3 linked regions of the Daphnia pulex genome follow. The protein of the gene in region 1 binds, or shares a complex with, the protein of each later gene. Links are inferred from orthologs where the notes say so. Each region holds a gene or a part of one and is shown on either strand. Other genes may lie near its edges. The genes, in order: HEAT repeat-containing protein 3-like, ribosome production factor 2 homolog and 60S ribosomal protein L11.

Region 1 (3,666 bases):
ACTGATATCTGGGTATTTTAAATTGTTATTATTTTAAAAGTTAAGTTTTTTCCATAAATTGTGACTTTTTTTTAGTCTTTGGGGTGCCTGCTATATGCCCTCTGCTACTATAAATCGCCTTTTGATGAGGTATTTGAACGAGGAGATAGCGTTGCTTTGGCTGCCTCCAGTGGAATGAATCATTTTCCAAATTCCACTTCCCCAGGAGTCAATTCGTCGGTAAACGACTTAATTTCCACTTTGCTTGTTGTTGATCCCAAAGAAAGACCTTTCATTGCTGATGTTCTCAGTTCAATAGAAGCTCTCAAGGGGTTGTTGTAGGCTATAAAACTCTAACCAATAACAAATCAATATAATAAATGCCAAAAATGAAGAACAGTCCAATAGCAACTTTTGTTAAAGCTTCAACAATTCATACATTACATTATCGATTAGCTAACGATCGTTGCTTTGTCTTATACTTGATGAAGCGGAGTAGATTGTCTCTAGCAGTCATAACAACTGGGAGGTGATCCGCCGGTAGGCTACGACGTTGTGAATGGACACGATGCTTGAAAGTGGGTGCCAATGTTCTTAAACGCTCCACCAGTTGAACATCTCCAACAATTGGGTCTGTGTGATCCTCCTTGAAAACATCAAATAAGGCATCCATAGCTTCAGCTGTAATCCACAAGTCAGGAGAAAGGCAAGCAGTGTCGAGAAGGATTTGACCGATTCCGCGAACAATCGAAGATCGAGGTTCCAACATGGGTGGTTCAACTCCAGCTGCCATTGAGCCAAGTGTGCCGAGTATCTGAAGCAAATTCACTTTTGACTGAGGATGAGAACAGTCTACAACTCTCTGACAGAGGAGAGTGATGTCTTCTAACTTCAAAAGGTTGACTATGTCTTTATGATACGACAATTTTCGAATTATGGCACGCATAGAAGCAGTTGCACTTCCCAGCATCTGTTCCGACTTACTACCCTGGAAAGCCACGACTGCTAAGCCACACCAAATGTCGAATAAATCCTTGCTGCCACCAATATCGTCAACTTCGAAAACCATCACCATGTTACTTAAACACAAGAACCCCATACATTGGAGCGCTTCGTAACGTTTAATAAGAGATTTTCCTGAAATCCAAAACAAGACAAGATTATTTCAATTTACCTTCCACTACAGAATGAGAGTTGAATCAAGTTAAATACTAACCTGTTGGGTGCTGATTTAAAGCTTCAATTATATTCGTTGCCGGTAATTTTGCTTTTTCAATAACCAGTTGAAATAGTCGCGCATCGATGAAAGCTTTCTTCAACTCGGGATTCAAGTCTATAAGGCTTTCTTGAAATCCTTCATTACCCAGTGATTCATCGCTAATGGATTCATCTTCGTAGAATTCATCCGAGTCGCCATCGTCTCCAGAACAACAAATATTGGTTAATATTTCCAGAGATTTTATTTGAGCAGAGATTAATTCTTCGGCAGCTTCGACAGAATCGTATAATTTAGAGGCCAAAGAATCTTCTTCCATTGCATCCCCACCGTTTTCATCTATAACAAAATTAGGATACTGAAAAGCCGAAATATGATTAGCATTAATATAGAAACAAACCTTGAGTTGTCGGTAAATGATCGACCACTGAAGACGCTGCCTTCCTTTGATCAAGGCAAAGAGAAGAAGTCAGGATATTTATAATATCTTGAGTTGACTGTCCCAATTCTGATTTAATTTGAAAAATTGTTAATACAAATCTAGACACATTTTATCAGCACAGAATTTACCTGAATTCAACTGCTGATGGTTCAAGTTAAGAAGTATCATAAGTGATAGAGTTTTCAATAAAGGGCTAGATTCTTTCACATTGAGGAATTTCGAAATAATCTCTTTTTTCAAAACTTCTGTGTAGTCAGTATCACCCTGTTCTTCAGTTACTGTGCTGAGGAACTGGACAACCGACGAAACAACATCTAAGCCATACGCATTTACGTCCAAATACGAAATTAACATGGAAACTATGTTTTCGCGATGTATCCGGTCAACAGCTAGAGTGCTGCTTTCGGAGAGAAGATTTAATGTTGCAACTGTTTCTAGAAAGGTGGCTGTAGAAGTATCAATTTTGTTGCCAGGTGCTTTATGAGGTTTCCACTGTGGTGGGATTCTCTTTAATAAAGCAATCAGTGGTGTTAAAATGTCGTGTTCAATGGCAAGCTTGATCGCTTGATCTCCTCCTTTTGAAATTATCGTATGAAGTGCTGAAGCAGTAGAATGACAAACAGAGGCACTTGTATCCAGCAATAGAGGACCAAGAACTAAATAAAAGCGTAAATCGTTTTGATTCTAATTTTCTTATAAATTGACGATGCATACCTTTTATTAGTCCTTCTTGTAATGCTGCACATGAATCCTCATTATTTCTTATCAATCCTGCTAATGCATGGCAAGCCTAAACAAAGAAAAACATAGTTACAGAAGATGATTAAGAGGGAGGGAGAATAAAAGGTATTATACACAGTCCCGCTCTTCTGCTGATGAACTTTGTAACTGTCTTGAAAAAGACTTTAGGGTTTCTGACGAGAGGGCAGTTCCAGTATAAGGACTCTTGACAGCACAATCCATCACAATTTCTTCAGAGTCAGATTTATTAGCGAGTCCAGTGGGATTATCACGAACTTGCTTATTATGTCGGTTCGATTTGGATTTCCCCATCCTACCGGTATGTTGAGGTTAATTTTTTATCCAAATAAATGGAAATAAATTTTTCACTTACCTAGCTGACAAAATTAATAATATGGAGAAAAATTATGTTATCCAAGTTTCGTACAAGTAACTATGATAACGAAAAACCAGAAACGATCTCCCGCACAAGACTTGCACAAGAACCTTTCAACATGTCAGAGCACATGTTTGATAAGCAGACGAAAAAAGAAATGTTTACTTCTATCCCCAGATGGCACTTTTGCACTTTTACTTTTTCTTTTACTGTATAAAGAAATACCGAAATTCGTCCGTTTCAGTAAACTAATAAAGGGTCCTATCGTAAAGTAAAAAGAGAGCAGAATACAAGACGAAAAAGACTATCAAGTGAATTCAGAAAAAAGCTATTGTTGATGTTCGTTTTTTCATTTGTCCTATTGAAAAAGCCTTGAATGTGATAATTAATGGTTACTCTGTACTTCTCTAAAAAATACTATCAAGTCTACTATACACAGAAATGTTTATTCGGAATTATAGTAAATATTAAAGTTGGTTTATTAGGAACACTTGAGAAAACGGTAGTGAAGAATACTTCTCAAAATCTGTAAAGACAAGGACGATAGTGAAAATAGTTTAAGAAATATATATGAGGACCGATGAAATTATTCAAGCAATGGATGACAAATATTCTGAGATTATTCAGGATTTGTAAAGGGAAAACGGCGGAGTTAATAACCTCCTTGAGGAGGAGGAGGACCATAAGAGGAAACTGGAGGCGGCTGGAAAGATGGAGCAGAAGCATATCCAGCTTCTGACACCCCACCGTATCCCCCGCTGGAATGGCCGCCTCCGGAAGCCCCACCGTATCCGCCGCTGGAATGACCGCCTCCGGAAGCCCCACCATATCCGCCGCTGGAATGGCCGCCTCCGGAAGCCCCACCATATCCGCCGCTGGAATGACCGCCTCCGGAAGCCCCACCGTATCCGC
Region 2 (3,131 bases), on another chromosome or scaffold:
CGTGAGTATCTTATACAAAGTAGTTGAGAAAATTTAGATTACTTATCCAATGAATTGTAGAACATGGCCACCGTGTTGCTGGTATTTTTGGCTGCCACTCTCGGCTCCGCCTTCACTCCGGAAGCCAAACAAGCCTGGACATCCACCATGCAAGGCATCAACACCGTCATCGAAGCTTCTGCTTGAAATCCATTACTCCCACATTGCAAGTAGCTGCTTTTCCCACTACCGATCAAAATAATTACATTACAGGCATATGTCAATAAATTGAAATGACGAGTAATTAAAAATACACAATTCGGCATTTCCATTTTACCTAGTTTTTGTGGGGAGATAAATTCTTGTAGTTTTAATTCAAAATAGTGGTGATACCTCTGGCAAAGCTAAGATGTGATTATTCATTTAACACTAAACCATAAGCCTTTAAGTGCTAGAAGCGGAGTCGACCAATTCCCAGTTAAATTTGTTTAGTTCCTTTTCTTTCTCAAATTCTAACCGATCCAGCAAATCCATCGATACTGGAAAAATTAAAGTTAATTCAAAAATGCTTAAAATAATATTACCAATAGAGTAACCACAGGTCCACAGGAGAGAAAAACACTAAATGGAGGTACCTAATAAGCCTGATAATTTAAATCGTGCACAGTACATACGAGTCGTGTTTGTCAAAGTCTTTATTAATTTCAACCGTTCACTTCTTGGAAAGTTTTGATGCTTTTTTGGGTGACTTTTCAGTCCGCAGAGCTCTTCCGCGTTTAACTTGCAACTTTCTGTAATCTTGACGTGGCATGTGAATGCGGCCGAGTTTCGAACCGAAAACGTCCTTGGACATGTTCTTGACTTTCTTGGGCTGTTTAAAAGCAAATAATACTATTCAGTAAATTTGAAATGGAAGTAGCCAATAGAAAAATTACCTTGGCAGCGCTTGGTGTGCGACACGCCCGTTTGAATAGATCAGCTGAGGCCAATTTGGTTCTTCTGATGACCAAGTCGGCCGAAGGTCCGATTTCTTCCAATTCAATATGAGGAGTTTTAGTTCCACTTTTGGTCATCAAAATCCTTTTATAAAAACTTGATTATTACAATCTCAAAAATGAAATGAAAAATATAGAAAAATACTTGTAACTGCGGAGGAAAATCTTGCCGTCAACAGCCGTGAAAGAAAGAGCATGTTCGAAACCAGCAAGACGAACTTGTTCCACTACTTCTCCACGGAAAAAGTCGATGAGCAAAGATTTGCATTTGGAATACTCTTCGTTTTGGTGCCAGACATCACCAGAGAAGATCAGGCAAGGCTTGTTACCATCCATCACTTTGGCGTTGCGAATTGCAGTCAAGGATTTGAACTGTTCCACACCAAATTCAATCATGTCGAGCAACTGGTGGTCAAACATTCTTCCTGAAAATTTAGATGACTTTTAGTTTAGGCCATAAATTCAAACAAAATTTAGAGATCAAATTGTACCCAGAATAACATTGTTGGGCCTCTTTTTGTTGTCTGAGCAGAATGCAAATAAAGAATGGTCATATTTCTGAGTCAGTTCTTCTATCGGTTTAACATCTTCAAATGGATTGTAAGGGTGTTTCTGACCAAAGTATGTTGATTGCATCCGTTTGATGGCATACTGAAGTAGAACGAAATGTTAGAAAACATACAACCCAAAAGCTTATAAGCTTGTAGCAATAGTACCAAATCTTTGACAAATTGAAGGGATGTGACGCTGGCAGTAGAACCACGAAGCATCAAAGCTTGTTTAGCCAATTCAACGATTTTTGGCTCTCGTTTTGCCAGCATCCGCTTACCGCGGTGGGTCTTGGGTTTCCTGCAATTAACAGATGATAATCAATTTTACGAAAAAATACTTGTAATTTCTTCACTTACGTAATTCTGACGCTCATTCTGTTAACAGTATATTAAGGTACGAAATGTCACACAAAGTAATATTTAACAAGTTTGGATAACTTGTTAGGATTTTAGACAGACACGTCTCCCAACCAACACGCGGTTTGAGTTTGAGTGTAACAATTCGTCTGCTAGAACTTGAGTCTCAAATTGCAACATGGCGAAATTAAATTTTGTAAAAAATGCTACAATTTCTCTGAAATGGTACAGAAAAAAAGGGATAAAATAAAATTGAACTTGAATCAAATAACTAATGACATTTGTAAAATTTTTCTTTAATTTTTCATCTTGTTTAGCGTCTTTGGCAACGCCGTATCTCAAATCAAAATAACAGTGACAGCATGCCCCGAAACGAAAATATCTGCAAAAATCAAGAGTAAAAATGAATACTGTCGTTATTGGTTCAGAGATTGGCAGTCAAAAGTGCTGTCTTCCTGTTGCGGAATTTGTAACTTTAAATTGTCAAGTTGGATGCCCAGTGAAAGTGACGACAAACAAGGGAACCTTCATTTGCAAGCTCTTCCCTAGGACTGATTTGAAAAATGATGCAGTTGTTGAAAATACCGTTCAAATTTACAGTGAACGTAGAAAGTTTCTCATCACTCATCCAGTAGTGACGAGGGATTTCAGTGTTTCAAAATTGTCACTGAAACCGGCAACAAGTATAACTGTAACTATCGTAACTGATAGTTTTCAAAGTGTCAACCATTTGAAACAATGCAAGTTGCCCCTGTTGATCAAGAGTCTTCTTTCAAACAAGATCATCACCCCGCTTTCGTCAATCACTGTTGGCAAATACTTTTCCGCAGGGAATGTAGAGAAAATTTTGGTCCTGGAAACGAAACCTGACGGTGGAGCTCTGACAGTGTCTGCCAAAACCCAAGTCAAGATTGAAAACATCATCACAGAGAAATGGATGAAAATTCAAGAACGAGTCCAAACGACAAGAATGGGAGGAGTAGATGAAGCCTACAACAAATTGAAAGAACTAGTGGTGTATCCTCTACAGCATCCCCAAGTGTTTGCTCAACTTTGCGCGCCTAGAGGAATTCTTTTACACGGTCCACCGGGCTGCGGGAAAAGTTCAATCGTCCAGCAACTCTGCGCTGAAAACGGCCTGTTTCTCATCCCAGTCACTTGCTCGGATCTCTCGTCATCCGATCCAGGAGGCAGCGAAGACAAATTGAGAAACATTTTCAAGGAAACTTTAAGCGTGTCGAGTCCCACA
Region 3 (3,756 bases), on another chromosome or scaffold:
GTGAAATCGACTTTGAGCTTCTCCAGTTCTTGCTCAATCAACTGGATGTCCGCCGTTAGACGGTGGCGCGTTCGGCTGCATTCGCTGTAATAGTACGCGTCCGTCTCGTCCAAATCGTCCACCCAATGGCTTCCGATGTCGTTGAGTTCGTGAATGATTTCGTTCTCCGATGTCGACCAATCGGACAGCATTTTATCCATCAATTTCGAGTGATCTTCCAGCAACAAATTGTAGTCTTTGCCAAAAGCTGACTGTAAAATATTTAAATTTAATTTTGTCTGATGGAAAAAAGAATTAAATAACTTGCGTCAATCTCTCCCAGTTGACAGCGCTGGGTGGTCCGGGTGAAATCCAAATGATCCTTCATCCTTTTGCGCATCACGCCGAGATCTTCCGTCTGGCGCTCAATTTCCAGCTGGATAATTTTGTCGGCTTGATTCACCTCTTCGCGTAATCGGTCAATCAGTACCTGCTGGGTGTTTAGCACGTCGTCGCTCATCCCTGGGTGTTTAGTTATAAACCATTTTGTCTTTTTGTATTTCGTGAGCTGCAATTAAAAATTAGAGAGTTACACGAAGGTGTGAAATACCTTGAATTTCTTGTATGTCCGCTGTTAATTGATGAGGGGCCGTGTTTTTGAAAGCCTCCGTCCATGTCGACTGCAATGTAATGTCGACGGCATTAACGTGAGTGGAACAAGCTTCGGATAATGACGTACATTCCGTCTCGGTGGCCTGTCGCTGGTCCAGTTGACGTCCAGTGCGAACCGCCGAACTCGATTCGACACTTCCGATCTTGTAAATCAATATAATTAGAAATGTGTATGAAATCCAATTACCAAAAAAGCTGAGAATTTCAATCTACCAAATCGCAGCCATCGTCTTTCAAGCGTTTCAGGACGTCGTGACTGGTAGCCAAGGCCGCCTCCCCTTTCTCGCCCACCAATTTGACATGGTCAGTTGAATTGGTGCACTGTTTTATGATGTCGCTCAGCCTGATTTCGACAACATTTGTAAGTACACAAACGGCTGAAATTGAAGAAGAAAGGTCGTAATTCGAATATATATGTACCTTGTACTGGGATCCTGCATTTGCGTTGCGTCTTTGTTTGCCTTTTCCGTCGTTTGTTCACGCGAAACTGTTTCCATGTTTTCTTACTTTGCCCGTCACTACGTGGCCATCGAATCAACAACCGGACGAAATAAATCAATGCTTGCGTTATTTTTCCCCTGTTAGGTAAATAAAATTTGGCTTTGTTTTTAGTACTGGGCATATTTTCTTGGACGCAGTGGAAGTATTGTTGTGAGCTGATTATTGTTTGCTCAAGTTCACTTGCGGTTTTCAATAGAGTGTGCAAATAATTGCACGGGGAATTGCAATTTTCCGTGTTGTGCAGTGACACGATTTTTTAAAATCAGACACGACATTTATCCTTCAAACTATAATAACATTAAACATCAATTCAAATTTACTTAATTGTTTAAGCAAGTTTAAAAATACTTCGAAAAATAGTCTAAAGATCGATACTTAACAATCGATTACGTTAGATTTGTTTTCATTTCAATGCTGATTTACTAACGTTTAAACAATAAAAAATACTACAAAGTTACACTTTCATCACAATAAACTAAAAAACCGAATTTTGCTTTGAATATTTCAATCATTTTTCAATAAAGTTTAATCAAATGCTAACCTCGCCCGTTTACTTGGCAACGTTCGAGCTATACTTCATTTCTTTAGCATAGGCTGCGTTGCCTGAGAGTGGTCTTGTTCTCTTGTTTTTCACGCATAGCTCCAAAATGACGGCGACCACTGTAAGTTCCTTGAAATTATTATCGTATTTCATCTGTCTTGAATTGAAATTTCTTCCAGTTTCATTATTCGATTTATTACGAGTCGATATTCCTCTTCAAAACTAGTAGTTTTGAAATATTTACATGTGATGCCAGTGATAATCTTTCTACCGGTGCAACAAGAGACTTTCAACATTTTCAGACCTAACGTGTTTCTTTTCGTTTCGGATATTTCAGGAGCAGGTGAAGAGGGACAAGTCCAAGAACCAGATGCGCGAATTGCGTATCCGAAAACTTTGTCTGAACATTTGTGTTGGTGAATCTGGTGACAGATTGACCAGGGCCGCCAAGGTATGTTGACTAGTAGTAAGATTTACATTCACATGCATCGTCCCTTGATGTATGTTAATATTATGTCGTGGGAAATTTAAACTTAAAATGTGATACATTAATTCCATCTATTGCAACTCTGGCTCACTTTAACTACTGAGCTAGTTACTAAATTGTGGAGACAACCTTTTCGTTCAAACTCTTGTCATTGGAACTTCCATTAAAACCCATTTCCTTTATTTCTAGGTGTTGGAACAGTTAACTGGTCAACAGCCAGTTTTCTCCAAAGCTCGTTATACCGTGCGTTCGTTCGGTATCCGTCGTAATGAAAAGATTGCTGTCCACTGCACTGTTCGTGGAGCCAAGGCTGAGGAGATCCTCGAAAGAGGATTGAAAGTCAGGGAATACGAGTTAAGGAAAGAGAACTTCAGTGATACTGGAAACTTTGGTTTTGGTATTCAAGAACACATTGATCTTGGTATCAAGTACGACCCTTCCATTGGTATCTACGGCCTTGACTTCTATGTTGTCTTGGGACGCCCAGGTACTTCACCCTTTCTACTTCATCTGCACAAGCATCGTCCCTAGATTTACGTTATTAGTATTTCTTGGGAATTATTAATCAAAACGTGCTATAGTAATTCTATTTATTGCAACTCCGGCTCACTTCAACTACTGGGCTAGTTACTAAATAATAGAGATAAATGTCTTGTAATATTCAGGACAATTTAGTCTAATTAATTGTTGTTTGATTCTAGGCTTCAGTGTAGCCGAACGTCGTCGCAAGACCGGCAAAGTTGGATTCCAGCACCGGTTGAAGCGCGAAGATGCCATGAAATGGTTCCAGCAGAAGGTATAATCATAATAATAGTCCAAAAATATATGCAATATGTATTGCTGGGGCTATCTTAACAATGATTGAGGATAGGGCTCGCTGTTAATGTTGCTAGATTATGAATGTGTTAAATCGGAATATGTGGCTGAATTGATAGCACAGAATTTCAAGCATACTCCTACAAAATATTTAATTTAATGAAGCCGCTTGTTTAACGACGATTCTTTCTTTATTTTACAGTACGACGGTATCATCCTCCCCACAAAGAAGGCATGAGCATTGTGTGTACTTCGTTCTGTTGCAAAATACACCGTTTTGCGAAATCCATTTGCCATTTTTGTTTCTTTTATGCGTGTCATTTTACAATGGTTTATTAATGAAAGGGAATTCCATTAAAAAATAATATTCGATAAAAGTTCATTAGTTATAAATTATAAGGGATTATGAATGACCACTAAATACATCCGAAATTGAAGTTTAATTAATTTTCGCAAGTTTTTAATATCGAAATTAAAATTTACACAATAAATCGACAACGAATTATCGATAGATAAATCGATTCAACACATTGTTGCCGCTATCAAAATATCTACATATAGAGCAGCTGGCTGGTTATTTACCATTAGCAATTGTGTAGTGTCGTCTGACAGCCGACTTATTCGGACGTGATTAAGCGTGCTCTTAGTATTCAACAAACTTCGATAAGGTATTGACGTTTATCTTTATACGTTATCAGAAAACGCAATTTACTAGTTACTTATTTATAATTATTTGTATCCTTAATTCGTTAAGGTAGCA

Evidence for each region.
Region 2: HEAT repeat-containing protein 3-like (region 1) and ribosome production factor 2 homolog share a complex: the UniProt entries of both Homo sapiens proteins name them as parts of the hexameric 5S RNP precursor complex. The link is inferred for Daphnia pulex from reciprocal best matches to the Homo sapiens genes HEATR3 and RPF2.
Region 3: HEAT repeat-containing protein 3-like (region 1) and 60S ribosomal protein L11 share a complex: the UniProt entries of both Homo sapiens proteins name them as parts of the hexameric 5S RNP precursor complex. The link is inferred for Daphnia pulex from reciprocal best matches to the Homo sapiens genes HEATR3 and RPL11.

Annotation. Positions count from the first base shown.
Region 1 is NC_060021.1:11,401,801-11,405,466, reverse strand, and holds HEAT repeat-containing protein 3-like, read right to left. Parts: upstream 2,913-3,666; 5' UTR 2,752-2,912; intron 2,692-2,751; 5' UTR 2,691-2,691; coding exon 2,493-2,690; intron 2,428-2,492; coding exon 2,352-2,427; intron 2,294-2,351; coding exon 1,766-2,293; intron 1,704-1,765; coding exon 1,596-1,703; intron 1,535-1,595; coding exon 1,196-1,534; intron 1,117-1,195; coding exon 425-1,116; 3' UTR 375-424; downstream 1-374. Other genes in the region: serine/threonine-protein kinase 16-like, read left to right, coding at 1-12, 76-321; glycine-rich protein 5-like, read right to left, coding at 3,407-3,666. UniProt on the Homo sapiens protein: Plays a role in ribosome biogenesis and in nuclear import of the 60S ribosomal protein L5/large ribosomal subunit protein uL18 (RPL5). Required for proper erythrocyte maturation.
Region 2 is NC_060026.1:16,289,134-16,292,264, reverse strand, and holds ribosome production factor 2 homolog, read right to left. Parts: upstream 2,043-3,131; 5' UTR 1,900-2,042; coding exon 1,883-1,899; intron 1,824-1,882; coding exon 1,691-1,823; intron 1,626-1,690; coding exon 1,466-1,625; intron 1,400-1,465; coding exon 1,120-1,399; intron 1,060-1,119; coding exon 915-1,059; intron 851-914; coding exon 692-850; 3' UTR 657-691; downstream 1-656. Other genes in the region: spermatogenesis-associated protein 5-like protein 1, read left to right, coding at 2,286-3,131. UniProt on the Homo sapiens protein: Involved in ribosomal large subunit assembly. May regulate the localization of the 5S RNP/5S ribonucleoprotein particle to the nucleolus.
Region 3 is NC_060026.1:15,189,517-15,193,272, forward strand, and holds 60S ribosomal protein L11, read left to right. Parts: upstream 1-1,358; 5' UTR 1,359-1,799; coding exon 1,800-1,814; intron 1,815-2,030; coding exon 2,031-2,144; intron 2,145-2,369; coding exon 2,370-2,667; intron 2,668-2,881; coding exon 2,882-2,976; intron 2,977-3,198; coding exon 3,199-3,234; 3' UTR 3,235-3,285; downstream 3,286-3,756. Other genes in the region: uncharacterized protein LOC124205485, read right to left, coding at 1-200; uncharacterized protein LOC124205486, read right to left, coding at 269-501, 590-794, 865-994, 1,072-1,148.